Linked DNA regions of Struthio camelus. The main gene of each other region encodes a partner of the protein of the gene in region 4 in a complex. Links are inferred from orthologs where the notes say so. Each region holds a gene or a part of one and is shown on either strand. Other genes may lie near its edges.

Region 1 (7,803 bases), on a different chromosome or scaffold from region 4:
GCCCGCAGGCTTCAGAAGAGTTCGGTCACAAAATTTCCTAGGTAGATGACACCTCCAAATGGCATTTGAGCACCTCAGTGTCTTGCAGTGTGCTGAGGTGTACCTTCAGGCATTATTCTTTACACCAGCCAGCCCATAAGCAGCTTTAATTCATAAGTAATACTATTTAAAATGTCTACACTTCTCATTTCAAGCAAGCTCTGCTGTTAACAAATCATGTGTTTCATGGAATCCCAGTCAGGATGTTGGCCCATCCCTCCATTAAAATACAGTATAACAAAATCTTAGTGCTTTGGGCCATGAAATAGTCATTTAATCTTTCCATTTTTCAGTCACTATATTTGTCTTGATTCCTGTCAGATCTTCTACTGTGTTACAAATACCACCTTTACTGTAGGGTCCCTTTGCTTGGGTGTCCACAAATCCTGCATGCTGACCTTTTCCATTTTCTCGTCCAGTAGTCTATCTCTATTCACTCACTAGAATTTATTATACTTACAAATTATTCTAAATAAATATAGTATTTTTCAGTCACAGGCATGTATTGAACTTCCAAGCTTCGAAACAAAGAATTTTTGCTTCCTTAGCTTTGTATAACAGTTGTAAAAGTCCTTCACATCTTAAATTATGTCAGTGAATCAATTATTATATTCTTAAATATTTTTTCTCCCATGTGATAACAAAAAAAAAAAGCATAAACTTCCTCATCCTAAGTACGACTTGCCAAGGTGCAAAGTAAGGCCGTTACGGAACGTAAATGAACGCCTTGCCAATATTCTCAGAGCTAAAACAGGGATCTGTACAATGTCTTGCAGTATTTTCCCTAGTTTCAAACTACTGAAATTATTAAAATAGTGTAAGTTTCTCATATAGCCAATATCATGTTTCTTTCTGAACAAAGACACACAACTTATTTGCACAGACACAATATGGAGTTAGACCATACCCTTTCCTTAAGCTAGAAAGCTTCAGCGCAAAACTTTTTCAGGATATGAAATACTTTACACTTATATTCAGATGCTTTCCCAAATTGTTACTTGCTATTCACTGATCTATCCTATTTTAACTTCTCTGTCCAAAATCCTGTTGCAAGACTTTCTGGTCCAGATTCATCACTCTGCTGCTCCACTTTTACACCAGGAAGTAATTTTGATCTCTATTTTCATTTTATGCAACTTAATTAGAACTCTTTATTCAAGAAAAATTCATTCCACTTTAAAGAACAAGCGTGGTGCCTCCAGCATTAACTCTTCACTCCCTTTTTCCCAATAAATCAAATTTTTAAAAATAAAACCAAGATAGAAAGGGGAAGGCCCAGTAGAAAAAGGAAAGAAGGAAAAAAAATCATTCTCTAGTTTAGTACAAGGCCAGGGATCGATGCCGGTGAGACACGTGGGGCCTCCTTCTCTCACCTTTGGGGGCCTTGCATTCCCCATGGAGCAGGAGAAGCGGGAAGAGCACCATTCATCCAACCCTGAACTTCCCGGTGGATGCTATTCTTTCTCAAGCCAGTGGAGCCACAGGATCAGTGACAGGAGAAAGCGTTCGACAGCAAAATGAAGGAAAGGAAACTAAAATAGAAAAACGATCTGGCAATTATCGGGGCTCGAGAGTAAAAGGTATAACTGGAAACAGAACAGATAACAAAAGGGGAACAGAAGCTCCGTAGGGAAAGAAAACAGAGAAGCAAAAGGTCAGAAAGCAGCTGACAAGGTCTGGGAGGTAGGCGCGCTGGCTGGCAAAGGTACTGGTAGCTCTTAATTACTTAATGCAACAGTGCCTGGTTAAACTGTGTTCACTGCTACTGCTGCTTTTATCATTTACTCTTTGAAGTGCTGTGAGGTCTAACCACAGTAGTCTCTCAGAGCAAAGTCTACAGTAGTTTAAAGGAACCAGCAACAAATACGAAAATAAGTAAAACTATATAACCAAGCCACATGAAAAGTTAGCACTTTGTTACAATTTGACACTCAAAGGTTAAGGCTCATAGAAGCACGTAGGAAGAGCGTGATACAGCCACTGCCTTTCAACTAAGGGAAAACAATGCATTTACAAACACAAATGAATTGTAATCCAAACAAATGTTTAAACTCGGCTCAAAAAGATCAAAAAGGCTGCAGGATAAAAAAAAAAATCCTACTACAGTTTTAATAGGCTTCCCTTAGCAACACCCCTTTTTAAAATAATCATTTGGCAAAGCAAAAAGTTCTCCAGCTGCTCAACCTCGCATTAAGTTGTAATTAAAAAAGAAAAAAAAGGCTAGATTTAAAGCATTTATACCCTGTTGTTGCCATTCTGTATATTTGCTCTCATAGATTCATTCATTTTTCAAACTGGGGAAAAAAAAAAAAAAATCAGTGCAATCAGTAATTCCTGCCCTGGAATTATCCCACCCACCCACCCAGAACAGACATGGTTTGACTCGGCGTTCAACAGGCACTAAGTTGCATTAAACATCCAGTGAACAATAGGTTAACCAAGATACTAGAGATATTATGGTAAAAATGACTATATTTTGCTGTATAAAAATTAAATGCTTGTACCCTTCTGCGTATGCGATGGGTGTTTCATTTCTAGGAGTCTTTGGAAGTAGCAACAGGGTTTCTTTTTTCCCCTTTATTAGAAAATAACCCCCCAAATCGCGGGGACGACGCTGGGGCGGTTACGCTGCGGGAGCACGCGGCCCGCCTTGCTGCGCCCCTTCCATCCACCCACGCGTGACGGCGGGGGGACCCTACCTGCGCGGGGGGGATGCAGAAGGCCTCGGCGATCTGCGCGTAGAGCTGGCGGGCGCTGGCGAAGCCCTCCACGCGGCCCGTGGCGCTGCCGTGCGCCAGCTGCGCGTGGAAGTGCAGCCGCGCCCGCGGGGCCGGCGGCGCCGGGGCCGGGTCCGCGGCCGGCGGCGCCGGGGCCGGGTCCGCCTCGCTCTCCACCAGCTTGGAGGTCTCCTTGGACTTGCCCCTCTTCTTGCTCCACAGCCCCAGCGGCATCTTCCGCGCCGCCGCCGCCGCCTCCCCGCACCGGACTCTGCCCCCGGCGCCGCCCCGGCCCTGCCGCCGCCCCGGCCCCGGCCCCGGCCCCGGCCCGGCGCAGCCATGTCGCCGCCGCCAGGTGAGCCCCGGCCCCGGCCCCGGCGGTAAAGCCCGGCCGGAGGCGCCGAGCCGCCCCGCGGGGGGCGCCGGGGCCCGAGCGCCGCTTCCCGCCCCCTGCCGGGCTGGGAGCCGCTCGGGACGGAGGCTCCTCGCCCGGATCAATAACGCTTCCTGCCCGCCACATCCATCATCGCGCGTTCGCCAGCGGAAGCCGCCGCTTCCCCGCAGACTGCACCCAGAGCTTCGCCCAAGACCGCGCTGCCCGGAAAACGGGCTGCAACACAAGGTGTCTGTTCCACTTTTCTCTAACGGTGTATAATAGAAAACGCATTCCACAAAGTTTATACATACACCCCTACTTTATGTCTTTTCCTACGTGTACACAATGCTAGCAAGTTCACTGTCTTCCCACGTGCTTGTTCAGGAATTTCTAAATAGTACTCAAAATAAAGTACTAAATGTTGATCAAAATAGGTTTATATCCAGGATATAAAAGACCATATATAAAGATTTCTGCCAAATCTTTCCCATATTTACAATTGTGCCTGGAGTACTCACGACTTTATTGAAGCTTGCCGATGTATAATTATGTAAGCAAAGTTTAAGAGGCTTTTCCTATCATCCTGGGCAACAGTTTAGAAGTACTGACATTTAACACAAGTATTTGAAAAAGCATGTTTTCTGGCCTTTGCTAAGTTTAAAACATTTTCATCTTGTATGCTATAAAATACTGATTTAGACTTTTACCTGCTACAAAAGACCTCTTTGCTCCAGTACAACTCACCTCAACAACACTCACAACACAACAATTACACTCACCTCAGTGAATTACTCCATTTTCACCGGTGTGCTGAACGCACTCGGGACATGAAGAGTGGAAGTTTCATGAAGCAGCATCCAGGCCTTCTACAGGAATCTAGCACAAAAGTGCAGAGAGAAGCAGCTTTGCCTTAGCACACCTTCTGACGCTCAGAGGAGACCCACCACTGGGAAAAAAAAGGAGCCGGACCACAAGGGCATAGAGAAGAGGATGACCAGGAGGCCGCCTGGAGGCGAAAGTTCTTAGGGAGGTTCATTAGACAACCTAGCACACATACTTTGTGTTGAACCCTTTTCCAGAGGAATAAATACTAGCCTTGATGCTGTTTTATCTGAGCACTCAGTAATTCCTCCTCTTGGCATTTCAGTCCTTATCACTGACATAAGCACATCACCTGATATATATTTCTCTGCCTCAAGAAATCATAAAGCTTAAATTCTGTTCAGGTGGGGAAAAAAAGTGCAGTGATGCCATTTGGATTTTGGTCTTCCCAAAATTAACCTGGATTTAACCGAATACTCAGAAATGCCCACGTTATCAGTTCTTATCTAAGACAACTGGATTCAAAATTGAGTTATTAATTACCAGTAATTCCCACCAATTAAGACTACAGAATAAACTTACCATCGGACTTGGATACGTGAATTGCCCAGCCCAATTTGAAATGACTTTGCATTCCTATTTCCTAAAGTGAAGCTTCTACAATCCTACTGAGGAGGGCCAGAAAACGTGGTCACTATTGGGGAACCTTAAAAACAATGGCCAAAGCAAAACGGCCATATACAATAGCACTGACCAATATCAGCGGTTTGTCCCAATGCAGCAGAAGGGATGCCAATATTAAGGATGGAATATATCAGCTATTACAGATACACAGCTTTGCCTATGGAAAGAATCGTAGTTTCTTTCTTGCCTCTATAGGACCTCCATCAAGTCATTTCTTATCTTCTGAAGAGATGATCGAAAAATGTTAAAAAACGAAACAGTAAATAATGCTGTTTATGACTGTTATTGAAAGGGTTAACAATTCAGTTAAATGAAAGCAAAACCAGCCATGTTTTCATATACTGACATACAGAGGTTGTACAGATTTGTTTTTTCACAAGTTGATAAACACTGACAGTAGCCCTAATTTAAATAACTTGAAAAATTTTCTTTAATGGAAGCTTTAAGTATTTCCTCTTCCAAACATAATCCATGCTTCATATGGAGATGGGAGGAAAAAAACAACTGAAATTGCACGAGAATGATGTTGATCCTACTTGAAGCCTGGAGGAACAGCATCAGCTTTTTAGCTATAAATAGGAAAAATGATGGGATACCAAAGAGCTGACTGAATAAACTGAAGATCACATTGTACTGTTTAATACAAAGATTATGGAGCATGTATATCCTATCATTATTTACATAATAATAGATGAGCTTGAACATTTCTATCAGAGAAAGAGAAAACTGTGTATTTTAATTTATTCTCCAACTCCAAACTTAAAACAGCAGTACCAAAAATTGTCATTAACAGACTCCAACTTTGGCAGGAAACAGTTAAAGTGCTAAAAAATTCCAATTTATATGTCCATTGCTCCTACCTGTACTGTTTTTTTTTTTTTTTTTTTTTTTGGCGATGTGGGGGCAGCCTGCAGTTACGGTTATAAACAGTATTTCCTTGAACTTCAACCATTTAGATGTAATCAGCGTAACAGTGTGGGGACTGAATCATTTGTAGAGCTAGAAATGAGTCAGCCTGCTGAGCATCTCAAAGAAAAAAGCCTATAGTGGACACCAATCACATTCACACCGACTACAATCACTCCTGCTTTCAGGCTTCCTTGGCATGTGCAGCCAACTGGGAAATATTTGCTAACATTTATTATTGTACATCGTAACTAAATCCTGAATCCAAATAAGCCTCCAGCATTTCAGGACAGTTGGGATCCAAAAATTAAGTCATACTTTTAATAAATAATACTGTCAGAAAGTTATTTGAATACAGATGTTAATCTTCTATTGTTTTAGAAGAGAAAAAAATGCTTATCAAAAAAAAGTTTCGGCCCCTTTACCCTTTCGTATTGCACACTGCTGTTTCTTGCATTTCTTGGTTTCTCAGCCATAGTACTTAGGATGTGAGAATTATACGGCATGCAACAGCCATGAAGTTTGTGGAGCAAGTACGTAAAATACAGCAAAGACCTACTGGATATGAAATGCCACAGTACTCTACTGCAAAATATCAGTAGCATACACAAGATTGTTTCACCACTCATGGAATATATATCTGACTTTGGGAGCCGTTACCTGCAATACTTTGCACCATTCTTGTCATCCCTGTTCTAAACTCAGCAACTACTTAAAAGGATTTCTGGTATGATTAGAGAATGAAGAATCTGTTTTTATAAGATACTGTGAGATCTTCTCTTGTTATTCTGACAAAAATAAGGCTGAGAAAAAATATAGTTGGTCTTTATAGTTATCTATGGTAACAAAAAATTGAGACAAGAAATCAAAGAGTAATGTTGATAAATCTAAGCAGGAATTTCTTGGTCATAAATAATGTTAAAAGCTATTTTTAAACTCTTGGAGAATGTGCAAAACAAGCCCTTTTATTCAATAAGGCTGTGTTTCATTCTCCATTTTAAGATCAGAGTTCAAACAGGACTATCTGTGACAGGAGAGGGACTAAACTCAGTTAACAAATCTTACCAGAGAGTATGAGCTGCTGCCTTAAAGTAGTCGTATTTTGTCTTTGACACATACAAGCACCCCAATTAGTCATGCCATCCTCTGAAAGTTCACACAGCAGCAATAAACTCGTTCACACAGCAGCAATAAACTCGTTCACACACTGACTGCAAGCTTGGCATCATGACTTCATAGGGAGCAAGAGGGGACCCCAGAGATTTTATCCTTACTATCCATCACCTTTGCAAGATCAGTTTGTTGGTGATATGAAGAAAATAAACCTGGTTTTCCTGGATTTCTCTCAGAAGCAGGTCAAGCTCTTCATTATACTCGGCCACAGCTTTTCTAGCACTGGACACTTCTCATTTGACCTAGTTTATGAACCTTTCTTTGGATGTATATATGAGCAGTCCAGATAATTTGTTTGGAGCATGGCATAATGGCTCAGTGCTTTGTTTTTTAAATCATGTAGGGCAGCAGGAGTTTGATTACTTTATCAAGGACAAATTATCTTCAGGCATGATTAACAAGATTGTTGTAACTTCTCCCTTGGGTGGGCCAGCACTTACAGTGGAAATGAACAAGCACAGCACAGTCGTGTGCTCTCATCTAAACTCAAGGGGAGCAACAGTATCCCTCTACTTTCACTCTTTACATAACATAACAATTAATTGGAAGAGCCTGGGGGAAACAAATCACTTGTTCTTGTTATCTGGAAATAGTCCACTGTTGAACAATCTGACAAACCAAGAGCTGAGATTGTACTTCATGAGCAGACTAGTGCTACCATTTGCCAAGCTTGAATGTCAAACGCAGTAAGTGAATGTGTGAACACTCTGAATCTATATAGTTTGATCATCAAGCAAAACAGTAAGAACAAGAATAATGTTAGCTGCTGAGCACTAGCATTTATTAACTGGGAAAGGAAAGCCATCAGCAGTGCACATCCTCTTTTTTTTTTTTTTCCAGCCAGCATATGAATTCAAGTGCACAAATTTTCACCCAGAGATGACAGTTTGAAGGCAAGTTTCACTGGTAGGGTTAGAACCTCTTTTCACCTCAAAGAAATATGCTGCCAGAGCATGTAAGACTACCATGTAAGACGTGCATGCTAAAAAGGAATGGAGCGCATCTAGTTTTTCCACTAATTCATGAGTTGTCCACTGGTGATTAGGTGCCAATAGTCACCTCCAGATTTTCTTAAAGCTTGATTAT
Region 2 (7,141 bases), on a different chromosome or scaffold from region 4:
TCAAATTCCCTGACCGCATTCCTCCTGCTTCAAAACCCATCCTGGAGCAGGTCCTGCCCATATAGCGCCTCCGCTTTAAGGACTTGGCTAGAGCTCGAGGTGTGGTGGTTTCTTTTATTTTCTCTTTTTCGGGAGGGGACCACAACTGGGACTTTCGGGGTCTCTTTAGCAGCACCTCCCTTGGGGGGGGGGGTGTTTGCACCCCCTTGTTTCCCCGAGCCGAAGGGCGATGTCCAAACTGCCGAGCGGCCTCCGACGGCTCCGCTGGAAACTCCCACCGCCTGGATTTTCGTCGTGCGGGTCCAACCCCGACTTCCGGGCCACCCGCTGCCCCCCGACGATGGTGGCTCGGAGCCCTCCGGTGGTCTTCCCCCCCCCCCCCTTCCTCCTCCTCCTTTCCCTCCCAGCGCGGGCTGGTCCCTCGTGTCCTGGCTCGGTGGCGAGGAAGACTCCGGTGCCTCGGGCTTTTTCGGAAGGCCTCTTCCGCCTTCGCATCCGTAGCACAACTCTGGTGTTATCCTTTGCGGATAAAAAGGGTGTTTGTTTGTTTTTTGGTGTTGCTCCTGGAACAGGAGCGCTCTTGGCACTCGTGTACAGATATTTTTTTGTATAAAGCTCTGTAAAATTGATGTGTAATTAGTAAAAGTGAGACGGATGGCTCGTTTGTGTGTGGGGGGGGGTGGTGGTGGTGTGGGCCTGGGAGCTCGGCCTGGGATTATGGGGATTAGAGGCTGCGATGGGGGGAGGGGGAGTGCTAAACTGAGGGGAGCTTAAGGGGATTGGGGGGGAGGGGGAAGGAGGAGGCTGATTTGGGGCTGGGGCTGGGAATTCTGTTTCCCCCCTCCAAATTGGGCCATTTCCAGGCTTTTTTTTTCCCCCCCAAATTGTAGCATCTCAGGGGCTGCAGGGTTCCCACTCCCAAACTGTACACTGCCCGCCATGTTCCATCAATACACCCGCCCCGGGCCAAATTGCGCCGGTTCTGGGGTTTTTTCCCCCCAAATCCTACTGCTCTGTGGCTTCCCCCCGCTCTCCACCCTCCCCGCCTCGCTGCCGCCTACGGTTCCCAGCGTTCCCCCGGCCCGGCGCCTGCAGCGCGGCATGCTGGGACTTGTAGTCCGCGCCTCTGATTGGCTCCCCCCGACCCCGTGGGCGGGCTCGCGGCCGAGCAGGGCGGTGCCGCCCGCGTGCCGGGGCCCGTCCACCGCCCCCGGCCGGGCCCGTTTCCTGGAGCCGCCCCGCCCCGCGCGGGGGCTCATTGGCCGACGGGGCGGTGTCGCTGAGTGGTGATTGGCCGGCGGGGCGGCGCCGCTCCGCCATGATTGGCCGGCGGGGAGGCGCTGGCCACGCCCCTCCCCGGAGGGTCAGGCCCGGCAGCGCCCGGCTGGAGTTTGCGGAGTGACGGGCCCGGCCCGGGGACGCGGACGGTGAGGGGGGGCGGGGGGGGCCAGGACCGGCGGGGGGCTGAGACCGGGGGGGCACCGGGACCGGCGGGGGGCTGAGACCGGGGGGGGGGGACCGGGACCGGGACCGGCGGGGGGCTGAGACCGGGGGGGGGCCGGGACCGGGAGGGGGCTGAGACCGGGGGGGGCCGGGGCCAGGGGGACCGGGACGGGGGGGGCTGAGACCGGGGGTGGACGGGACCGGGACGGGGGGGGGCTGGGACCGGGGGGGGAACCGGGGCCAGGGGGACCGGGACCGGCGTGGGGTTGAGACCGGGGGTGGACGGGACCGGGACGGGGGGGGGCTGAGACCGGGGGGGAACCGGGGCCAGGGGGACCGGGACGGGGGGGGGCACCGGGACCGGGGGAGGGAACCGGGACCGAGGAGGGTGAGGGGCGGGGGGGGCCGAGACTGGGGGGGGGGAACCGGGGACACCGGGACTGGGGCCCAGGGAGGCGGCAGGACGGGACGGGGAGGGGAAACTGGGACCGGGGGGGAACCGGGACCGGGGGGGACACCAGGACTGGGGGGGGACACCGGGACTGGGGGGGTCACCAGGACTGGGGGGGGACACTGGGACCGGGGGGGTACCGGGGCTGGGGGGGCACCAGGACCGGGGGGGGCACCAGGACTGGGGGGGGGTACCGGGGCTGGGGGGACACTGGGACCGGGGGGGGCACCAGGACCGGGGGGGGGACACCGGGACCGGGGGGGTCACCGGGACTGGGGGGGGTACCGGGGTTGGGGGGACACTGGGACTGGGGGGGGCACCGGGACAGGGGGGACACTGGGACCGAGGGGGAGGGAACTGGGATTGGGGGGGACACCGGGACTGGGGGGGGACACCAGGACCGAGGAGGGGACCAGGACGGGGTTGGGGGGGGGGGACCAGGACTGGGGGGGGTGGAAATGGGATGGGGGGGGGAACGGGGACAGGGGGGACACCAGGACCGAGGAGGGGACCGGGACGGGGTTGGGGGGGGGGGACCAGGACTGGGGGGGTGGAAATGGGATGGGGGGGGGAACGGGGACAGGGGGGACACCAGGACCGAGGAGGGGACCGGGACGGGGTTGGGGGGGGGGACCAGGACTGGGGGGGGGGTAGAACTGGGATGGGGGGGGAACGGGGACGGGGGGGACACCAGGACCGAGGAGGGGACCGGGACGGGGTTGGGGGGGGGGGACCAGGACTGGGGGGGGGTGGAAATGGGATGGGGGGGGGAACGGGGACAGGGGGGGACACCAGGACCGAGGAGGGGACCGGGACGGGGTTGGGGGGGGACCAGGACTGGGGGGGTAGAACTGGGATGGGGGGGGGAACGGGGACGGGGGGGACACCAGGACCGAGGAGGGGACCGGGACGGGGTTGGGGGGGGGGAACCAGGACTGGGGGGGGTGGAAATGGGATGGGGGGGGGAACGGGGACAGGGGGGGACACCAGGACCGAGGAGGGGACCGGGACGGGGTTGGGGGGGGACCAGGACTGGGGGGGGGTGGAAATGGGATGGGGGGGGGAACGGGGACAGGGGGGGACACCAGGACCGAGGAGGGGACCGGGACGGGGTTGGGGGGGGACCAGGACTGGGGGGGTAGAACTGGGATGGGGGGGGGAACGGGGACAGGGGGGGACACCAGGACCGAGGAGGGGACCGGGACGGGGTTGGGGGGGGGGGGACCAGGACTGGGGGGGGTGGAAATGGGATGGGGGGGGAACGGGGACAGGGGGGACACCAGGACCGAGGAGGGGACCGGGACGGGGTTGGGGGGGGGGGAACCAGGACTGGGGGGGGGTGGAAATGGGATGGGGGGGGAACGGGGACAGGGGGGGACACCAGGACCGAGGAGGGGACCGGGACGGGGTTGGGGGGGGGGAACCAGGACTGGGGGGGGGTAGAACTGGGATGGGGGGGGAACGGGGACGGGGGGGACACCAGGACCGAGGAGGGGACCGGGACGGGGTTGGGGGGGGGGGGGACCAGGACTGGGGGGGGGTAGAACGGGGACGGGGGGGGGAACGGGGATGGGGGGGACACCAGGACCGAGGAGGGGACGAGGACCGGGCTGGGGGGGGGGACCAGGACTGGGGGAGGGGTAGAACTGGGATGGGGGGGGGGAACGGGGACGGGGGGGACACCAGGACCGAGGAGGGGACCGGGACGGGGTTGGGGGGGGGGACCAGGACTGGGGGGAGGGTAGAACGGGGACGGGGGGGAACGGGGATGGGGGGGACACCAGGACCGAGGAGGGGACCGGGACGGGGTTGGGGGGGGGGGACCAGGACTGGGGGGGGGTAGAACGGGGACGGGGGGGACACCAGGACCGAGGAGGGGACGAGGACCGGGCTGGGGAGGGGGGACCAGGACTGGGGGGGGTAGAACTGGGATGGGGGGGGGAACGGGGACGGGGGGGACACCAGGACCGAGGAGGGGACCGGGACGGGGCTGGGGGGGGGCTGGAAATGAGACTTGGTGGGGGGGGAACCATGATTTTGGGGGGGGGGGAGAAGACCAGGACAAGGAGGGACGCCAGGACCGGGGTGGGAGGGGGGGGGGGGACACGACACCCCTCCAGGCCACACACCCAGCCTCCCGCCCCCGTGCCTCAGTTTCCCCTCTCCCCGCAGCCCCCGCAGAGCCGCCGCCGCGTCCCCCCCCCCACCCGCCGCCGTCCCCCCCCCGCCGCCGCCGCCGATGCCGCTGGGCCTGGGCCGCCGCAAGAAGGCCCCGCCGCTGGTGGAGAACGAGGAGGCGGCGGGGGGCCGCGGCGGCCCGCCGGGCTCGCCCTTGGGGGCGGCCGGCGGCGGCGGCCCCCCGCCGGGGGGGCTCCTGCCGCCGCCGCCGCCCCCCGCCGCCGCCCTCCGCCCCCGCCTCGTCTTCCACACGCAGCTGGCCCACGGCAGCCCCACGGGCCGCGTCGAGGGCTTCGGCAACGTGCGCGAGCTCTACGGCAAGATCGCCGAGGCTTTCCGCATCCCGCCCGGCGAGGTGCGGCTTTGCGGGGGCGGCGGTCGGGGTGGGGGGGGGGGGGGCCAGGATGGTGTCGGGCACCCCCGGGGTGCTGGGAGGGGGCTCAAGGCTCAGGACGCTTGGGGACGGGGCACCCAGAGGTGCTAGGGGGAGATTCGGGGGTCGGCATGCTCAGGGATGGGGCGCTCTGGGTGTTGGGAGGGGGGTTCAGGGAGAGGGCACCCCGGGGTGGGGGGCTCGGGGGTCAGGACGCTCCGGGATGGGGCACCCCTGGGTGTTGGGAGGGGGTTCAGGGAGAGGGCACCCCGGGGTGGGGGTCTTGGGGGTCGGCATGCTCAGGGATGGGGCACCCCTGGGTGTTGGGAGGGGGTTCAGGGAGCGGGCACCCCGGGGTGGGGGGCTCGGGGGTCAGGACACTCCGGGATGGGGCGCTCTGGGTGTTGGGAGGGGAGTTCAGGGAGAGGGCACCCCGGGGTGGGGGGCTCAGGGGTCAGGACGCTCCGGGATGGGGCCCTCTGGGTGTTGGGAGGAGGGTTCAGGGAGAGGGCACCCCGGGGTGGGGGGCTCAGGGGTCAGGACGCTCCGGGACGGGGCACCCCTGGGTGTTGGGAGGGGGTTCAGGGAGAGGGCACCCCGGGGTGGGGGGCTCGGGGGTCAGGACGCTCCGGGATGGGGCCCTCTGGGTGTCGGGAGGAGGGTTCAGGGAGAGGGCACCCCGGGGTGGGGGGCTCGGGGGTCAGGACGCTCCGGGATGGGGCCCTCTGGGTGTCGGGAGGAGGGTTCAGGGAGAGGGCACCCCGGGGTGGGGGGCTCGGGAGTCAGGACACTCTGGGATGGGGCACCCCTGGGTGTTGGGAGGGGGTTCAGGGAGAGGGCACCCTGGGGTGGGGGGCTCGGGGGTCAGGACGCTCCAGGATGGGGCGCTCTGGGTGTCGGGAAGGGGGTTCAGGGAGAGGGCACCCCAGGGTGGGGGGCTCGGGAGTCAGGACACTCCGGGATGGGGCGCCCCTGGGTGTTGGGAGGGGGTTCAGGGGTCGGGATGCTTGTGGATGGGGCACCCCTGGGTGCTGGCGGAGGGCTGAGGGCTCGGGACAGTTGGGGACGGGGCACCCGTGGGTGCTGGAGGGGGGCTTGAGGGTTGGGACACTCGAGGACAGGGCACCCCTGGGTGCTGGAGGGAGCTTAGTGGTCAGGACAGTTGGGGACAGGGCACCCCTGGGTGCTGGAGGTGGGCTGAGCACTCGGGATACTTGGGAACAGGGCACCCCTGGGTGCTGGAAGGGGGGCTTGAGAGTCAGGACGGTCGGGGATGGGGCACCCTTAGGTGTTGGGGGGGTCTTGGGGATCGGGACACTCGGGGATGGGGCACCCTTAGGTGCTGGGGAGGGTCCTGGGGATCAGGACACTTGGGGACAGAGCACCCCGGGGTGCTGGGGGAGAGAGGGCTCAACGGGCAGGGTGAGGGGATCCTTGGGGTGGGGAGGGGGACAAGAGGACATTGCGGAGACCAGGGGGAGAGGAACGGGGGTGAGGGCAGCACCCGTAGGTGCATGGAGGGGGGGGGGTCCCACGTGTCCCCAGTGAGGGCGTCCCCGAGCAGTGGGATCCCATGTGTCCTTGGCGGGGGGGGCCCACAGGTCTCCAGCAGGGTGTCCCCAGGCAGTGAGGTCCAACATGTTCTGCAGGGAAGGTGTCCCCAGGGTGGGGATCCCCTGTGTCCCAGGGGGTCCCACGTGTCCCCAGGACAGGTGTCCCCAGCAAGCGGGTCTCGTGTGTCCCAGAGGGTCCCACATGTCCCCAGGACAGGTGTCCCAGGGCTCCTGTGCACCCCAGGGCAGGTGTCCCCTGGAAGGGGGTCTCATGCATCCCCAGGGAAGAGGTCCTTTGTGTCCTGGGAGCTCCTGGGTGGCCCTGGGGTAGATGTCCCTGGGAAGGGCGACCCACATGTCCCCAGGGTCCCATGTGCCCTCAGGGTAGGCGTCCCGAAGAAGAGAGGTCCCTTGTGTCCTCAGGACGGGGGTCTCGTGTGGCCCCGGAGGAGATCTCGTGTCTCCTGGGAGGTCCCACATGTCTCCAGAGAGGTGGTCCCCAGGAAGGGGGTCCCGTGTGTCCTGGGAGGTCCAATGTGTCTCCAGGGAGGTGGTCCCCAGGAAGGGGATCCTGTGTGTCCTGGGAAGTCCCACGTGTTCCCGGCGTGGGGCTCCGGGTGCCCCTGCACCGCTGACGGCCCTGCCCCACCCAGGTGATGTTCTGCACCCTCAACACGCACAAGGTGGACATGGAGAAGCTGCTGGGGGGACAGATCGGCCTCGAGGACTTCATCTTCGCCCACACCAAGGGCCAACGCAAGGAGGTCGAGGTCTTCAAGTCCGAGGAGGCCTTGGGCCTCACCATCACCGACAATGGCGCCGGCTACGCCTTCATCAAGGTGCGGGGACGACTGTCCCACGTGTCACCCACCCCGGGCCAGCTCCCACTCTCCTGGAGAGCCTCAGGGTGAAAGGGTGACCTTGAGTATTCTGGAGGGGATGAGAAGGGACTGTCCTACTTGGAGATGCATAGGGACGCTTCAGGCGGTCCCTGAGGCACCTTGGGGGGGACGCCAGGACGTGGTCTGACTTTATGGGGGGACACAGGGACACCCCAGATGGTGCCCGAGCCACTCTGAGCGGGAAGTGGGGGGAGCATCCTGGGCCATCCCAGGAGGACGCAGGGACGTCCTAGACGGTCCC
Region 3 (7,430 bases), on a different chromosome or scaffold from region 4:
TCCCTCTTCCCATTCTCAACTTCTCCTGTTTCCACACACTTAACCTCCTCCCCCCGCCCCCCAAACTCTTCTTTGTCTCTCTATGACATGTTTAGTTTTCTCCCCTATCTGCCTTCACTCACTGGAATAACCAGTCTCTGTCCCTTGCTATAATTACTAGCTATTCCAAACTCTAAGCTTTAAGAAAAGAGAATATTTGTGGTTTCTTCTCCATTTTCACACTCTACAGTTGCCTTGTTACTACTAGAGTGCCTCCTCGGAGTTAGGTTTTCCATATTGAGGTTTCTCGGAGCTCCTAGGTAGAGGCCAAGGGGATTATCCTTCTGTGTGGAGAGTCCAAACTCTTTGGAAAGTTCTCTGCTAGCCAAAAGTATTGCATTAAAAAAAAAAAAAAAGTCTGTATTCCTCTTATTTAGGAGGACATATCATGATCTAAAAACAGAACAAAAGGAACTTTTGTGAACAAATTCCAGGACTGGGAGTAAGAAGCTGGAAAACCTACTCCTCTGCAGTTTGCAACTGACTCATTCTGAGACAAATCACTGAGTTTATCTAAGCACCAGTTTCCATGTCAGCAAAATAAAGAGGACTTACTAGATTAACACTAATGAAGCAATTTCAGAACATCACTGGAGTGTGGCACAAAAGATTTTTTCATTCCACCGCCTTCATCCAAAGCTGTTTTAGACTTTATAAGCTGTATCAAGCATACACGACTTTGCTGAAGTAATTTACAATGATGCAGTATAAGCCTTCTGTAGACAGCCCAAAGCAGCAGCACTCTGCAGGTTTGATGATCAGGCTCAAGGGTTGTATAAGCAGCTGACACTGACCTACCAAACAACTTAGGGTAAGTCATGTTCGCGTCTCAAATTAAATAGTGAAGATAGCATTTATCCATGTCCCCAGGATGTTGCTAGGCAATGATCAGAAGGAAAAAAGCATTCATATTTACAGCCACCAGCCCTTTTAAGTCCTCCACACTTCAGTTCCCTTCTCAGACACTGCAAATCCTCCAACCCTTTGGATTCCCGCAACCTCAACCATTAAGATCTCTCTACTGTCACACCTCTGGTACTAAGGATTCTAAATTCCTGTCTGACAACACTCTTGAAATACTTATTTTCTCTTCTTTGCTGTTGGTTTGTTACTTGGAAACCCTGTCTTTAACAGAAGAAAAGCCCAGAGGGAAATCACTTATAATTTGGCTGCTACACTGATCAAAAGATCTGGAGGGCAAGATGTAATCTGTAACATCTAAAGATTACTTCATTTTGCCTCAACCCAAATGCAAAAATCATATCCCATACATTCATGCAGGGAATCAAAGAACATTCATTCTGAAAAGGGCGGGAGAATGCTCCTCCTGGAAAGCGTGATGCAACATGTGACAACTGCCTGGGGGGACATCAAAGATCATCTGAAACTTCTCATTACCTAGTAACTTCCCTGATATCTTTGGCCAAAGCGATCCTTCCCCTACCTTGCAGCAGTGAATCTCACCTATGTTGTCCAACACGCTAACATGGGCCATATCACAGTGCCCTATCCATATTGTTTGGACACTGCTTTGGGCAGCAAGAGCCTCTAAAATAAGTAGGACTTTTAAAAGCACTACCTACATCAACTGCTTGCTCCCTTCCCATACCATACATGACACAATCAGTGCACTACACATGTGGACCCCACACGCAAGCAGTTTGAAAAGTACTGAATTAGGAATCAGTTTTTCAAGATGAAGAACACAGGTTGGCACTAGTGATAAAAAGCAACAATGAAGAAGCGTATAAAATTACAAATGGCCATTTTCTATCATGCTGGATAGATTAAACATGTGACATCAACTGTACTACCTCAAGCACAACCAGAAAGCATGTAATACAAGAGGGGAAGAAAAGAACCTTTGTTTTAAGCATTTTAAGCACTATATCTCTGTTTTGAGACCATTTTTGATCAATTTCTTCCCCTGTGTTCATCTAATTGACCTGAGCACAGGGTTTAAAAAAAGACTTAGTAGTCCATCAGCCTGAGAGGTCACAGAGAAGATGCCATAAACCTGTAGTTGATTTCACTTCCCATGCTGATTTTCAGACCTATGAGAAATCCAGCGGTGCAGGGGTGGCACTTTCCTCCTCGTGGAGCTGCAGTGTGGCCCTATGGGGGGGGGGGGGCCCTGCGCACTGCAGACCTCAAGGTTCAGCAGGGGCAGCACCAGATAGAGCTGTCCTCCTTCAGAGCAGGGGGGGTGGCACTGAACCCCCCTGGGAAGAGCCCCAAAGAGCCTGGAGCAGGCCTAACCCCCCCCCAGCCTCCCAGCAAAGCCCTCCAGACTCTGTCATGGCCCCCAAGGAGGACCCCCTTCTCAAGGAGAACTCCCACCCTTCTCATCTAGAAAGCTGATAGGCCCCCCGTGGCCTGAGCCCCAGCCAATCAGCGACCCCCCACGCGCCCCTCTCCGTATGTGCCCGCTCCCCCCACCAGGTCCTCATGCAGGTGTCGGCGGGAACGGGCCCGAGCCAATCACAGGTGGCGGCTGCGCGAGGGGGCGTGGCTCGGACCACCGCTGCTTCGGCCCCTTTAAGCAAGAAAACTTTGCCTCGCCATCTCGAGACCCCCCCCCCGCACACGGATTGGCTGGTCGACGGAGCCGTCCAGCTCTTGCTGCTCGCCATTGGTGGACAGCGCCTGTCCGTCAAAGCGGCACGCTCCCCTCATAGGCTGGCGCTCTCTCAGGCCCGCCGTGGAGGCGGGGATGGCCGCGCCCCCTCGGGGCTCTCGCCGCCGCTTCCTGGAGGAAGGGGGTCCAGCCAGCGGGCGAGCCCACCTCAGGGGCGCGGGGGAGGGCAGGGGAGCGGCGCGGCGCGGGGTCGCGGGAGCCTCACCGATGCGCTGCCCCACGGGGGAGCTGAAGGGGTTTCCTAGGAGAAAGTCCATCGCTGCCGCCGCGCCGCGATCAGCTGACTCCGCCGGCGCCGCTCACGTGACGCCCGCGCGCCAGGCCGGGGCGTGCCTCCGAGGCCCAGCCACGCCGTGACGAAAGCGCCCCGCGCTTAACGGCCGCCGCCCCGCCGGTGGGGGCGGGGCCGGCGGAGATGGAAGGTGGCCGGTAGTCCGTCAGGGACGGAGCCACCAGAGCGCTCCGGCCCGGCCGCCCTCCCCGCGGAGGGGCCCGGGAACGGGGCCGCTCGCTGAGGCGCGGAGCCGGCCGCTGCCGGAAGCGCGGCCTCCTGTGCGGCCGCCCGGCCGGGCCCGGCCCGGCCCGGCCCGGCCGCCGCCGCCGCTTTCGCGAGCGGCCACAGTAAACCGTGTGTCGGTTGCAGCTTCAGGCTGGAGCGCTTTTCTAACCTGACCGCTTTGAGCGGTTGGTCGTGGCTGTTGTTCACCAGTGGGGCTGAAGTCCACCGTGCGTTTTCCCTGCGGGGAGGTTTTGAATGCTATTTTAGTAGACAAGGCAGTTGTTTGCAGCCACAGCTTTGAAGAGCCCAGCTACCAACAAGTACGATTTCCCTGCACGCGTTCTTCCTACCTTCTTTCACAGCTATTTACAGTGTGGCACCAAGACAGGCTGATGTGGCTACTGATGTATCTTTTTGCTACCATTTTCTTACTGAAACACTAGAACAGTTTCCTCAAATGCTCTTCTGTATCTATGCAGAATAAACATTACCTAGAGCTGCATTGAAATGCGTGAAAGCATGTAGTTATTGGCTTTTATTTTTCCATAAACTTCTGTTGAAATGTACTTAAAACAAGGAATACAAGTTGGCTAGTAAAGTATCACGTTCTGCAACAGCCTCATGTCTTTGGACATCACACACGCTGAGGGTGTAAGTGGCCAGTGCATCTGTCAGACCCTGGAAATGGGGACATGTTAAGAACTAGCACTGATTATGATCTAACTTTGCCATGCCTGTAGTTCCTTTCACTGTCTTGATCTTGAGTCCCCTGTACTGTTTCACCTTAACACCACAAAGGTGAACTGAAATGAGAGAACAGGGAAGAAAAATGCCCCATGCTGTAGGATTTGCCATGCTAGATGTTATCTTTCCCTTCAGGAAGGTCTCCAAATTGTCAGTATTCTTTGAGTGGTATTTCAGGTGAACTGTGCTATTAGAACTAGAATTGCTTGTTCTTAAAACAACTGAGATGAAGGAATTTAAAATTAAAAGTGTTTTGCCGAGAAACACGAAATACTAGTAGGAACAACTGTTGCAAGAAAACATAGTAAACACTAGAAATGAATGACAACACTCCAAATGTTAAAAAAAATTATATTGTTAAGTACAGTACAAAAGAGTTTCTTTATATAATTGTAATGTAATCTGGATCAAACAGCAAGGAAATAACAAAAATATAAAAACTGCTAAGTGTCACCAAAGTTTTCCCTCTAGTACCAAATACCACAAGATACAGATTATACAAAGTGTACAAATTTTAAATAAAAATACAATACACTAGGGTTGTGTGTGTTTTTAAACTCTTCAAGAGTTTTCAATTGTACAGATGACAAAGCAAGAGCTGATCTCCTTCTGTTTCTTAGAGATCTAGCCCTTTACCACAATGCTCTCAGTTGTAAAGAGCTGGAAAGAGCCAGTGACTTTGTGCCACTCCCAATAGCAGATGCTTTAGTAAGGGTCCAGGATCACAAATTGAATTAGACTGCCTCCCTCCCAAGCCTCTTCCCAATTCCAAGATCTCTGTGATTAGTCATATATTGTCCAAACAGGTATTCTGTGGTCTGAGGCTTCAGATAAGAATTGACATGATAGTTTCAGAATCTTCTGCTTCATCCACTTAATTTACTGAGAAAACAACATTGAACTGAGAAAAGGTCTGTAACAGACAGACTGCTTTGCACTGGCACAGTTGGGGAATATATGGTAAAGAGGAACGGGGAGAAAAACCCTCCTGCACACCTGAGGATTTAATTTAAATATGATTTGGGACTCAGCCATAATGAGGGACAGCTCACTTTCAACTGCCCTGAAAAAGAGAAACTACACTTCAAATTGGAAGTAGTCCAAAAGTGCTCTTCTATCATTTTGAAACTTTTATGCTATAAGGGCTGGAGATCCTGGGGTCAAATTAAAAAGCTTTCTATTTCAGCTTCTACCTAGCTTCACAAGATAGTCTTGTTTTTTACAAACACTTAAAGTCTTGCTGCTGTTTCCCCATACAGAACCAATGCATGCTACTGCACGTATAGCTGATGCCTGCAGGAAGTGAGGTGACGCACACCTGATTCGTGTTTTCCACACACTGTTGGTGGAGGGAGGGATTTTTGCTTTTAAATTATATACATATATATATATATATATACACACACACACACACACACACACACACAGAAATATACAGGATAAATTAAAATCTGTTACAGATATTGGTAAAAGTTAAATACACATGATATGAACACTACATACACATACATACAGACACACAAAAACCTATATGAGAATCAAGTGCTCTCCTGCAGCTCTTCTTCTAGAGGAGCAGAAAACCAAAATACCAAGTATGTGGCTGGAAGGAAGGGGAATCAGTCCAATCAACTGACATGTGCCTTGCTCAGCCATTACTGCTTAAAACTGGTCATTAGTCACTGCCTCACAGCAGCACCGTGGCTCTTTCAATACTGCTGGTGAAAGGGATAGGATCAGCGATCTCAGAAACTCAAGTCCTGTGTTCACAAAACACATGCAAGACGAACAGAAGCAATCCAGGTTTCTCCCATCTGCTACCACTCTCCTCTCCACCAGAAGACTGTGCTGCATTCAGAGGGGCCTGGACAGGCTGGAGAGGTGGGCGGGGAGGAACCTCCTGAAATTCCACAAAGGCAAGTGCAGGGTCCTGCACCCAGGGAGGAATAACCCCATGCAGCAGGACAGGCTGGGGAGTGACCTGCTGGAAAGCAGCTCTGCAGAGAAGGAGCTGGGAGTCCTGGTGGACAAGTTGAGCATGAGCCAGCAGTGTGCCCAACAAGGCCAATGGGATCCTGGGGTGCATTAGGCAAGAGTGTTGCCAGCAGGTGGAGGGAGGTGATCCTGCCCCTCTACTCAGCCCTGGTGAGGCCTCACCTGGAGTGCTGTGTCCAGTTCTGGGCTCCCCAGTACAAGAGAGACATGGCGCTACTGGAGAGAGTCCAGCGGAGGGCTACAAAGATGCTGAGGGGACTGGAGCATCTCTCCTCTGAAGAAAGGCTGCGAGAGCTGGGCCTGTTCAGTCTGGAGAAGAGAAGACTGAGAGGCGATCTGATCAACGTGTATAAGTATCTGAAGGGGGGATGTCAAGAGGATGAGACAGGTGCCCAGCGACAGGACAAGAGGCAACGGGCACAAACTGAACCACAGGAAGTTCCATCTGAACCTGAGAAAAAACTTCTTCACGGTGAGGGCAACAGATCACTGGAACAGGTTGCCCAGAGAGGTAGTTGCAGAGAGGAGTCTCCTTTGCTGGAGATATTCCAAACCCGTCTGGATGTGATCCTGGGCAATATGTTCTATAAGACCCTGCTTGAGCAGAGAGGTTGGACTAGATGATCTCCAGAGGTCCCTTTCAACCTCAACCATTCTGTGATTCTGTGATTCTGTGATTCTGTGATTCTGTGAAAGTGGGCTGACCAAGCCCTGGAAAAATCAGCAGGAGGTTCATTCTCACAAGCCAGTGCAGTCTGTTGATACCTCACGCTAATGGCAATTTGGATGCCAGTCCACAAGAAAAGAACAAATGTTTTGCCATCTTCACCTTCAAACCAAATGCAAGCTACCAGACCAGCCAGCTGACGCTGACAACTTTCAGTCATCAGTCACTGAAGAGGGAAGCTTGGAAGTTGTGACTCAGAGGTGAAGACCTCTATATCTTTTATCAGCTATCCAGCTTTTCCCTCAAGCAGTAGATTTTATACTGAAAAAGTTAGAAACAGGGCTGGTGAAGAGTTCAGTTCTACTCCTTGGTCCACAATAAATTAGCATCTCTAACTGCCCACAGAATAATTGTCAGGAGGTCATCTTGTCCAACCTCTGCTTAAAGAAAGTCTAACTAGAGCAGGTTGCTCAGTCAGTTTCTAAATAACATCAAGGATGGAGATTCATACCCTCTCTGGACAATCTGTTCCAACAACCACTCTTAATATTTTGTTTTTTATATCTAGAAGTCGATTCTCTAGTGGGTGCTTCCCCCACTAACAGATCTGAATTTAAGGCTAGTATCTCAAACGCTTTCTGAATTCTTCATAAAAATACTTTCAAATTGGAGTACATTTCATCCACCAACATAAAAGGGTTCTCTCAGCTTAAATTCACAACTGTTCATGAAATTAATAGAAGTCAAATAGTTACAATCCTATGTATATAGTATACAGATATAAAACGTTAAAATCCTACACACGGAGCCCTTAGAGAGTGCCGGCGTAGTGCATATGCACGCAAGTCAGT
Region 4 (7,852 bases):
CACACAAGTAAAATAAAAAGCAACGGACTTGAGAAAGGCTGTTAACTGATCAGTCAGGGGTACCTTTTACCTCTTCTTGCACTATTATTTAACCAAGTCTATTTTGCATTCCTTTCTTTTTTTTTTAACTACTCACAATTCAAAATAATCTATTTGCTTAGTCTTTATATATATATTATATATATTTATTATATATAATTTCAAATACATTCTTTAAGCAGAGGTTATTGAAAAATTGGACCAATCCAGCAGATTTACTTCCAGTCAAAATATAGACCTTCAGAAACTAGTCATACTATCGCTAAAGATGGAAATGCAGAACAATCAACCTTCCTTAACTAACATGCAGTCTGATAACAGGAAAGAAGAAACTACTTATGAACTGAAATGAAACAGTAGGACTTCAAATAGGAGCTGCTGCCTTAAGCCATATAATGTCTAATTTAATAGTAAGTTGAATGTATCAGTTGGAATACAGAAGGCCTGTGGAAAAGTCAAGGTGTTTAAAAAAAAAAAAAAGTTAGCTATAGTCAAAATAGGTGTTCACTTAAAGTCTACTGGGAATAAGGAAAAAGAAACCCAATCTTTTCACGGCTGTCAGAATCATAGCATTATGTATACGCCCGTAATACTAGGTGAAAGGGAGCAGATAAGACTTACATGCCCGTTTCCAGTAAACAGTTTTCATGTTAAGGAAATGAATGTCTCTTACCTTGAGTAAACGTCCGTGGAAAGAAGCCACAGATTGATTCTGAAAGGATTATGATCTTGGAATTGGTAAGGATACTATTGCTAAAATCCCAGTAATATTTTTTAATTTCTTGAACTCTTGTCTGTGACCATAAGCTGCTATGAGCCAGTTAGAAATGTTCTTTTGCAAACGTTTAAGTAAGCTATTCTTTGTCTAGATAAATAATAGATAAATTGTACTGGCAAGACTAAGTTGGCAGCTACAACAGCTACATTTGGAAACTCTGTACAGGTAAATCCATTTTTAAAACCAATAAGGATATGACTTGGATGTTTTTACTTTTCTAAAATGATTTTATGGAATATCAAGCCACTAAGCTGAAGCACTTGACAGTCAGGAAACTTCAACGCTTCGTATTCACGAGCTGTGAGGTGTTTTAGCATGACCAGATTACACAGATACAGTGTAGTTACATTATATTTATATACGCGTATGACAACAAAGCACTTTAAAGTGAATGAACTTTGGGCCATAGGAAGTCATTGGTTAGGTGCCCACGGATGTTTCTACAGGCAGAAGTTCACCCATTACAAGCTACATTTGGAACATGTAATCCATGAAGAAACTCAGCTAATTATAATACGATTTAAACGCAACCTTTCTGTGTGAAGAGATACATATAGTAAAGGCTTGTAGTGACTGTCAAGCCTGATTTTTACATTTAATTTCTCATAGTAGAGACTGGGGAGAGAAACTTAACTCTCACAATCCGTTTCATATTTACACTGGAAGGTCTAGATCTTGAGCAACAGAATTATACAGGAGATTTCACTTTCTTAGAAGTTCAGATACCTGACATACCATTTTAAATATTGTTTGAAATGAAAATAGGTAGAATATTCTCTCAAAGTTTTCCGGGAAGTCACCTGGAATCCTTTACCTACTTATCCTTTCAAATAGTCTGCAGTTCATCAGCTCTGACAAAATACGATGGCCCGTACCACATATATTTAAAAAAATGTGGCAAATCTGAGGGCAGAATGTGTTTTCTACCATCTGTAAGAAATGAATATTTAAACATAAATTTTTAGTATCTGGGTGAATTAAGACACCGTGGACATCTGGAATATTGTCAGTTCTGCCTGGCAGCGTACAGCAAAGCAGCGTGCGCCCGTACTGATGTTCTCGCTAAAATGGAGCATTGCCTTGTCTCAGCAATCTTTCTACCTTTGGTACGATCATGGGATGCCGGGTAGGCTGTCTAGTGTGTATCGTTTGCACGTTTAAGACGATACTGAAGTATGGTACTAATGTTTTGTTCATTACAATAGACTCTTGCTACCTGATAGGTACTGCGTACTACTGAATGAAAGCTACTCCTGCAAATCTCATCTGTGCGTTACCGCTTTTGAATGGATATTTCTCCATTACGGTTTCTCCCATGTGACATATTAAAGGCACAGGAAGAACTGAGTCACGGTAAAGGCACTCTGGTCTCCATTACAGCCATTAAACTGAATCTATGTCTTACAAATATCAGTAGCCTAAAATAGCCATCAAGTAAAAATTGGTTTGAGTTTCCACCCTAGCCATACTGTTTCCTGGTATTCTGAAAAATCTCAGTTGGACTGAAATAACAGAGGCTGGTCACACTTTCCTATGAATGAAATCTGGAATGCTCCCCCTTCATATACAGAAAGTGAGTACAGTAAAACACGTTTTTCTTTGTTTTCTTATTTCTTCTTTTTTTCCCTTTGTTTAGGTTGAAGTTCCTGCACTCATATTTTACTTTTGTGGGAATTTTCTTCTTTTTTTCCCAGAGGATCTACAGAACAAACGCTGCTGTGTCTTGGGTTATTTTTAGAATTCCCAGGGACAAAAAAGTGAGAGAGTAGACAGACGTGCTCCTTACCAGGAAGCGGCACAGTAGATCATGAGATACTCTTCAGTGCTGCATCACTTCCAAGGCAAAGTGGAAGTGATTGGCTTGTTTACACTGAAAATATTTTGTTGACCATTTCCTGCCATTATATCCTGTTTTGCTAAGAGGTTTTTTTTTTTTTAAATCAGTCAGTGAACTTATATTTTCGTTTAGTTTTCTAGTCATACTTTTTTTTCCAGGTAATTATTATCCTTATCTCTTTTGCAAATAAAAAGAAGACTGAACGTACAAAACACTGCGCCAAAAGATAGTGGGTTAAGTGGAAAGTGCCACTCCCCTTCTCTAGAAGTTTAAAATATTTTGATCTGTCAAACCTGTTAACTATTCTTAAATTGTATCAAATGAATATGCAACTGCCAAATTAAACTGTCACTTTGCAGACATGTATAGTGTTTTGAAAAACAAAATCAGCCTATAGCATGTTATATGAATTGTAGGAATGTTAATCAGGACAGAGCATTTACCTCCACCCGTGCTCTGCTCTGCCTTAGATGCCGGCTTACTCATCCAGTTTGTGTACTCCCATTTTCACTTCCACGTGTACTTCCATGCTATTCTTTGACAGAATCCTTTCCCTGGAAAGCTCCCGGGGATTTCTGTTTTTCCCTAAAGGAAATATGAGGTTTTCCAGACACTCAGAAAGGATCCACCTGAAAATACCATGTCTAAAGAAAAGTAGCCAGGGACATAATGTTAAGGGAAAACATGAGAGATTTTGAAGTGTGAAGTAGCTAGATTCACTCTGTCAGCAAAACACACAAGACGACTTTATGGTCTTGCAGTGGACAGCAAAGAGGCTTTGCACATACAGTCAGGATAATTATGCTGTTCATCAAGTATTGCATGAAGAGAAGCAAAGTTTTTATGGGAAAATTGAGAAAGAAGTGGATAATGTTAGGAACGCTAATAAAACTAAGGGAGAGGGAAGTGATACAAAAGTACAGTATACGTACTTAAGGAGGGGTGGTTATATGCGTCTCTGGTGGTGTGACACAAAGTTTGACGGAACGCTCTCCAGCTGGGCTGCTCTCCTGAGTCACACCAACGCACTGGTGACAGTCACTGGCATAAGCAGCTGGGTGTGCACGGGTGCAATAGAAAATCTCCACAGCAGCTCGGAAAGCCAATGGAAATACTGGTGTGCAGGTTAGCAAGTGTGCTGCCTTGCAGGTGCATCAGACTCAGGCTAGACAGGGCCAAAGGCAGGCAGACACGACTGTCACTGAGCAATAGGTGCGATCTTAGCCTCTCCGTTTTGTGCAAAATTCAGCAATATATACCTGTGGCTCCCTAGAAAAAGGGTTGTCATGGTAGTGAAAAGAGCAGCACCTAAACAAGACGGGGATTTACGAGAAAGGATGTTTTTCAAGGAATCTCTGATTTTCAGAATTTCCACAGCAGCGGAGCTGCCATCTACTGCATATCTTTCTTTATAGTGTGATGGTTAATTAAAACAAACATGAGAGGACCAGTGAAACTTCGCTTTATTTCAGTTTGCTTTTGCTTTGAGATTCTGACATACTAGTATGAAGTTGAAGCATTTATGTTGGCACTTAAGTGAAGTTGCTGATGAACTCTAGTATTTGAAATGCAAATAGAAAGCAAAAGAGGTAAGTAGCAGCAAAAATACTGTTTATAACAGAGTACATTGAGACAGCCTGACTGAAATCAGAGCTAAAAGGTGTTAGACACTGCCCAAAAATAACTCAGAAAAAAATGCATTCATTGAATTCTATCCATACGCATCAGGAGATACAACTTTGTGGACACAGTTATTTCAGCATAAAAATGCTGTGACATGCCTGAAATTTCTAAGAAACACATGCGATGAACGGAAACCTGACTCTTTATGTAATGGCATTGGTTCAAAAAAACCTAGCCGCATCTCCACCCCTCCCCCCCCCCGGCCAAAAAAAAAAAAAATAAAACCAAAACCGAACCAACCGACTAAACACCACTTTCTGGTGCAAGAAAGAAAAAGCCAGGTGAGACCTAAGAGACATCCCCTGCACCAGAGGTCATCCACCCGCTCTAAGGGCAATGCTGCTTCCTGAATGCATCGCCAGCCCTTTCCTTTACTCCCGAAGCTTTAACTCAACCCTTTCTCCTCACGGTATTTTACCCAGGCCGGCGACATGGCCCCCACGTGGGGCGCGGCCAACGGTCGCCAACGGTCGCCGCCCGGCGCGCGGCCCGCGGCAGCCCGGGCGGGCACCGCCCCGGGGCGGGGCGGAGGCAGCGCCGCGCCCTCAGGTGAGGCGAGCGGCGGGGACTGTGCCCCGGGGCCACCGACAGGCCCTTTTTTTTGGGGGGGGGGGAGGGGAAGCCTCCCCCTTAGCCGGGGTAAGGCAGGTAGCGCCCGCTCGCAGGCCACGGACGCGGGGCGGCTCGGCTTGGCCCGGCCCAGCGGCGGCTTGGTGGGCAGGGGGCGGCGGGGGGAGACCCCCGCCTCGCCCCCCGCCCGAGCCGAGGGAGGGGGGAAGGTGTGGGGGGGGGGGTGCGCCAGCGGGCCTCGCCCGCTACCGCCCGGCTCAGCGCGGGGCCGGGGCCGGGGCCGGGGCCGAGCCCTGCCCTACGCGCAGCGACCTTGGCGGCTACGGAGGGGCTCGGGGCGGGCGGGGTCTCCCGGAGGGGCAGCGCCGGTGCTGCGGGCAAGGCCGGCGGGCCTCAGCCGCGCTTCGCTGGCGTCGCCGTCGCCCCTTCCCCCCCCCCCTTCTCCTCCTCCCCCGCTCCGGCGGCGGCCGCCCTCGCCGCGGAGCCTCCGCCCCCGGCCGGCCCCTGTAGCGCTGACGTCCCGGGCGGTTCGCCGGCCCGAGCGGCGGGGGGGGGGGGGGGCGGCGCAGAGCAGCGCGGCAGCGGGGCCAGCCGGGCGCGCAGCGCCGCCGCTACAGCAGGTAACCGGGCGCCGGGCCGCGCTGTCCCGGTGCGGGGCCTGGCGGGCGGGCGGGTGGGCGGAGGGGGACAAGCTGTTGCTGCCGCCGCCGTCACCCGCGGCCGGGCCCCGCGGCGGCGGCTTGTTGCCCTTCAGCCTTCCCCACTGCGTCCTCCCTGCCCCGTGCTCGGCGGGCCGGGGGGGTGCCGTCCTTCTGCCCCCTCCTCCCCCCCCGCGGCGGCGGCGGCGGCTTGCCCCGGCGTCCTGCGTGTGCCCTGCCGGCGCCTCCTGCCCGGCCCTGGCAGTCCCCCCCCCGCCGTGGGCCGCGCTGTGGGGCCGGCGCCGCCCCGCCGGTGGCCAGGTGCGGGCGGCTCCTGCGGGAGCCGCTGCCCGAGGGGAGCCCCGCGGGCTGGCTGCCTGCCGGGGCAGCAAAGGCTGCGCCGGCGGTGGCCGGGAGAGTTTGGTAACTCCACGTTTGTAAAACGCTTCCCAAAGGGGCGGGAGGGAAGTGGGGACTTCCCGGAGCGCCGCTGCGTGCATAGGTGCCCTCTGATATTAAACGTAGGCATTAGAATAATATGCAGTACTTCTTTAAAAGTTTAGCAAGCTTAAAACAGAGAAGGGTGAATACTGCAGTGGAGAGGATTAGAGTTCGAAGCAGGAAACGTTGAGAACAGAAGCTTCAGTTGCATTCAGTAGATCTCACTTCACACATCTCCTTAATTAAACAAACGTATTACCATTAAGGTGGGAGAAGAAACACAAGGGCGCAGGAGGCGTCCCAGGCAGTCAAGTGCCGGCCCTGAGGTCTGCAAGCTTACCTGGAGCCAGTAGCTTCAATTGAAAGCTTTTAAATGTATATGTGTAATCAGGAAAAGTCCTTCTAGGTGCTTTCCTGACTGCCCCCTTTACGTTCTTATCAGGATGGTTTTTTAGCATAGCCAGACCTTCCTTATTAGATGCAATCATAGATTAAAACGCTTTTCCTTTACATCATGAAATGTCATTGAACTTTCTTGTTCCTTTAGTATCATCTCCTGTAAAATGCTGTATGTGCTAAATTCCACTGGCTTTCATTTTAATTCCTCTCAATTCAAAAACATGGCTGTGTCCCTGTAAGAGAAATGAAATTTTTTACAGTATTGACATACTCCAGAGCATGACTTGTACTACAGTTAAAACACATCATCTGTTGAAGCAAATTCCTCTTGAAGTACGTTTGCAGACTTCAGTTTTGGAAAGCAGTGTGCATAAGCATGACAGACTACCAAAATCTATTTTTTAATTTCTGTGATTTGTATGTATTACTGAATAGGAAAACTTCAGTAAAAATATTCTTCCCCTTAATCTGCCATCACTTGAGTACAATTTATACGGTATGATATTTATTGTTGATGCTTGCCTGATAGTTGGTAGTCAGATTCCTTACTAGTAAATCCTAATGCCATCAGAGACCCATAAAATTAAAATAGGTATATTAACTACAGACTACAGATCGCATGAATTACCAGTTATTTCACTTAAATATTGCTGATTGTGTCAGCCCCCCCCTTTTTTTTTTTTTTTTAACAAAGGTGGTGGGAAGTAGAATGTCATGTCATCAAAATTAGTGTCTTGGCTTGCTCATGGAAGGAAAAGAACGTTCTTTGAAGTGATCTAATTTCTCACGGCTCAGTTGACATTATTAGGCTGTAAAATGGCCTATGAACTTGGTTAGCATTCAGCAGTGTACAAAGGTTGACAGCAGAGTAAGTTTTCCTTTTGTTACAAACGTGACAAATTAACAGAGGGTAAGAGAAACAAGATCTGAAGTTAAGTGCAGTCTGAAGTTTGTCTTTTCTAGAGAGAAGAATGCTAGGAAAAAAATCTGATAACAGAAGTGATTTAAGGATTAAAATTATCTTAGCGGAAGTCTGAAGGTATAAACAAATATCTTCTTGCAATATTTGTTTAAATATCATTGTGGAACTGTGCTAATGCACAAGATAATTGTGAAGTGTACGTTTTATAAAATAACTGCAAAGAAAAGAGTAAGTTTATTGTTAGAGCTGGGAGAGTAAATGTGAAAACTAAGTGGCATAGCAGAAGGTAAAAACCTTTCCATTGCTTTCATTAAAATAGAAATTAAATTTAATCTCAACTGTTTTCAGTAGATTTTTTAAAAATGCATGTAAATTAATAATCTCTGTTTAGCAATAAAGTACGGTTATGCCTTTTTGAAAATATAAAGCCAACAGAATGAATATAACAGCAGCTATTAAGCCTTGCAGCAGTCTTTACTATCTGAATTAAAAAGCCTGACAGAAGTGACATGCAGAAATTATAAATATGTACAATTGTAAAAAAT

The links.
Region 1: the proteins of MYO6 (region 4) and GIPC2 are in contact, whole or in part, in a crystal structure (PDB 5V6H), measured with the Mus musculus proteins. The link is inferred for Struthio camelus from reciprocal best matches to the Homo sapiens genes MYO6 and GIPC2. Residues at the interface, in NP_001034635.2 of Mus musculus: Ser1055, Lys1056, Trp1057, Lys1058, Tyr1059, Arg1084, Arg1085, Leu1086, Val1088, Tyr1089, Trp1092, Lys1093, Asn1096; in NP_058563.1 of Mus musculus: Glu255, Leu256, Tyr257, Met258, Gly259, Ile260, Asp262, Asp264, Leu265, Thr268, Thr289, Leu290, Asp292, Phe293, Ala294, Pro296.
Region 2: the proteins of MYO6 (region 4) and GIPC1 are in contact, whole or in part, in a crystal structure (PDB 5V6E), measured with the Mus musculus proteins. The link is inferred for Struthio camelus from reciprocal best matches to the Homo sapiens genes MYO6 and GIPC1. Residues at the interface, in NP_001034635.2 of Mus musculus: Ser1055, Lys1056, Trp1057, Lys1058, Tyr1059, Ala1060, Arg1084, Arg1085, Leu1086, Val1088, Tyr1089, Trp1092, Lys1093, Asn1096; in NP_061241.1 of Mus musculus: Glu273, Ser274, Tyr275, Met276, Gly277, Ile278, Arg279, Asp280, Glu282, Leu283, Thr286, Asp310, Phe311, Ala312, Pro314, Glu316.
Region 3: the proteins of MYO6 (region 4) and TOM1 are in contact, whole or in part, in a crystal structure (PDB 6J56), measured with the Homo sapiens proteins. The link is inferred for Struthio camelus from reciprocal best matches to the Homo sapiens genes MYO6 and TOM1. Residues at the interface, in NP_001355794.1 of Homo sapiens: Ile1182, Phe1184, Trp1202, Gln1214, Glu1216, His1218, Asp1220, Lys1221, Pro1222, Ile1224, Leu1226, Glu1234, Met1235, Cys1236, Leu1238, Glu1242, Thr1243, Gly1244, Leu1245, Arg1247; in NP_005479.1 of Homo sapiens: Ser440, Glu441, Phe443, Phe446, Leu447, Arg450, Ala451, Ala453, Ala454, Asp455, Leu457, Pro458, Asn459, Leu460, Ser461.

The regions. Positions count from the first base shown.
Region 1 is NC_090949.1:24,429,085-24,436,887, forward strand, and holds the start of GIPC2 (PDZ domain-containing protein GIPC2), read right to left. Parts: upstream 3,001-7,803; 5' UTR 2,991-3,000; coding exon 2,739-2,990; intron 1,718-2,738; exon of another isoform or gene 1,437-1,717; coding exon of another isoform or gene 1,413-1,436; intron 1-1,412.
Region 2 is NC_090972.1:3,432,501-3,439,641, reverse strand, and holds the start of GIPC1 (PDZ domain-containing protein GIPC1), read left to right. Parts: upstream 1-4,133; coding exon 4,134-4,427; intron 4,428-6,651; coding exon 6,652-6,837; intron 6,838-7,141. Other genes in the region: DNAJB1 (dnaJ homolog subfamily B member 1), read left to right, coding at 1-65. UniProt on the Homo sapiens protein: May be involved in G protein-linked signaling.
Region 3 is NC_090942.1:59,891,320-59,898,749, forward strand, and holds the start of TOM1 (target of Myb1 membrane trafficking protein), read right to left. Parts: upstream 3,018-7,430; 5' UTR 2,935-3,017; coding exon 2,883-2,934; intron 1-2,882.
Region 4 is NC_090944.1:43,547,957-43,555,808, forward strand, and holds the start of MYO6 (unconventional myosin-VI), read left to right. Parts: upstream 1-4,852; 5' UTR 4,853-4,886; intron 4,887-5,459; exon of another isoform or gene 5,460-5,527; intron 5,528-7,852. UniProt on the Homo sapiens protein: Myosins are actin-based motor molecules with ATPase activity. Unconventional myosins serve in intracellular movements. Myosin 6 is a reverse-direction motor protein that moves towards the minus-end of actin filaments.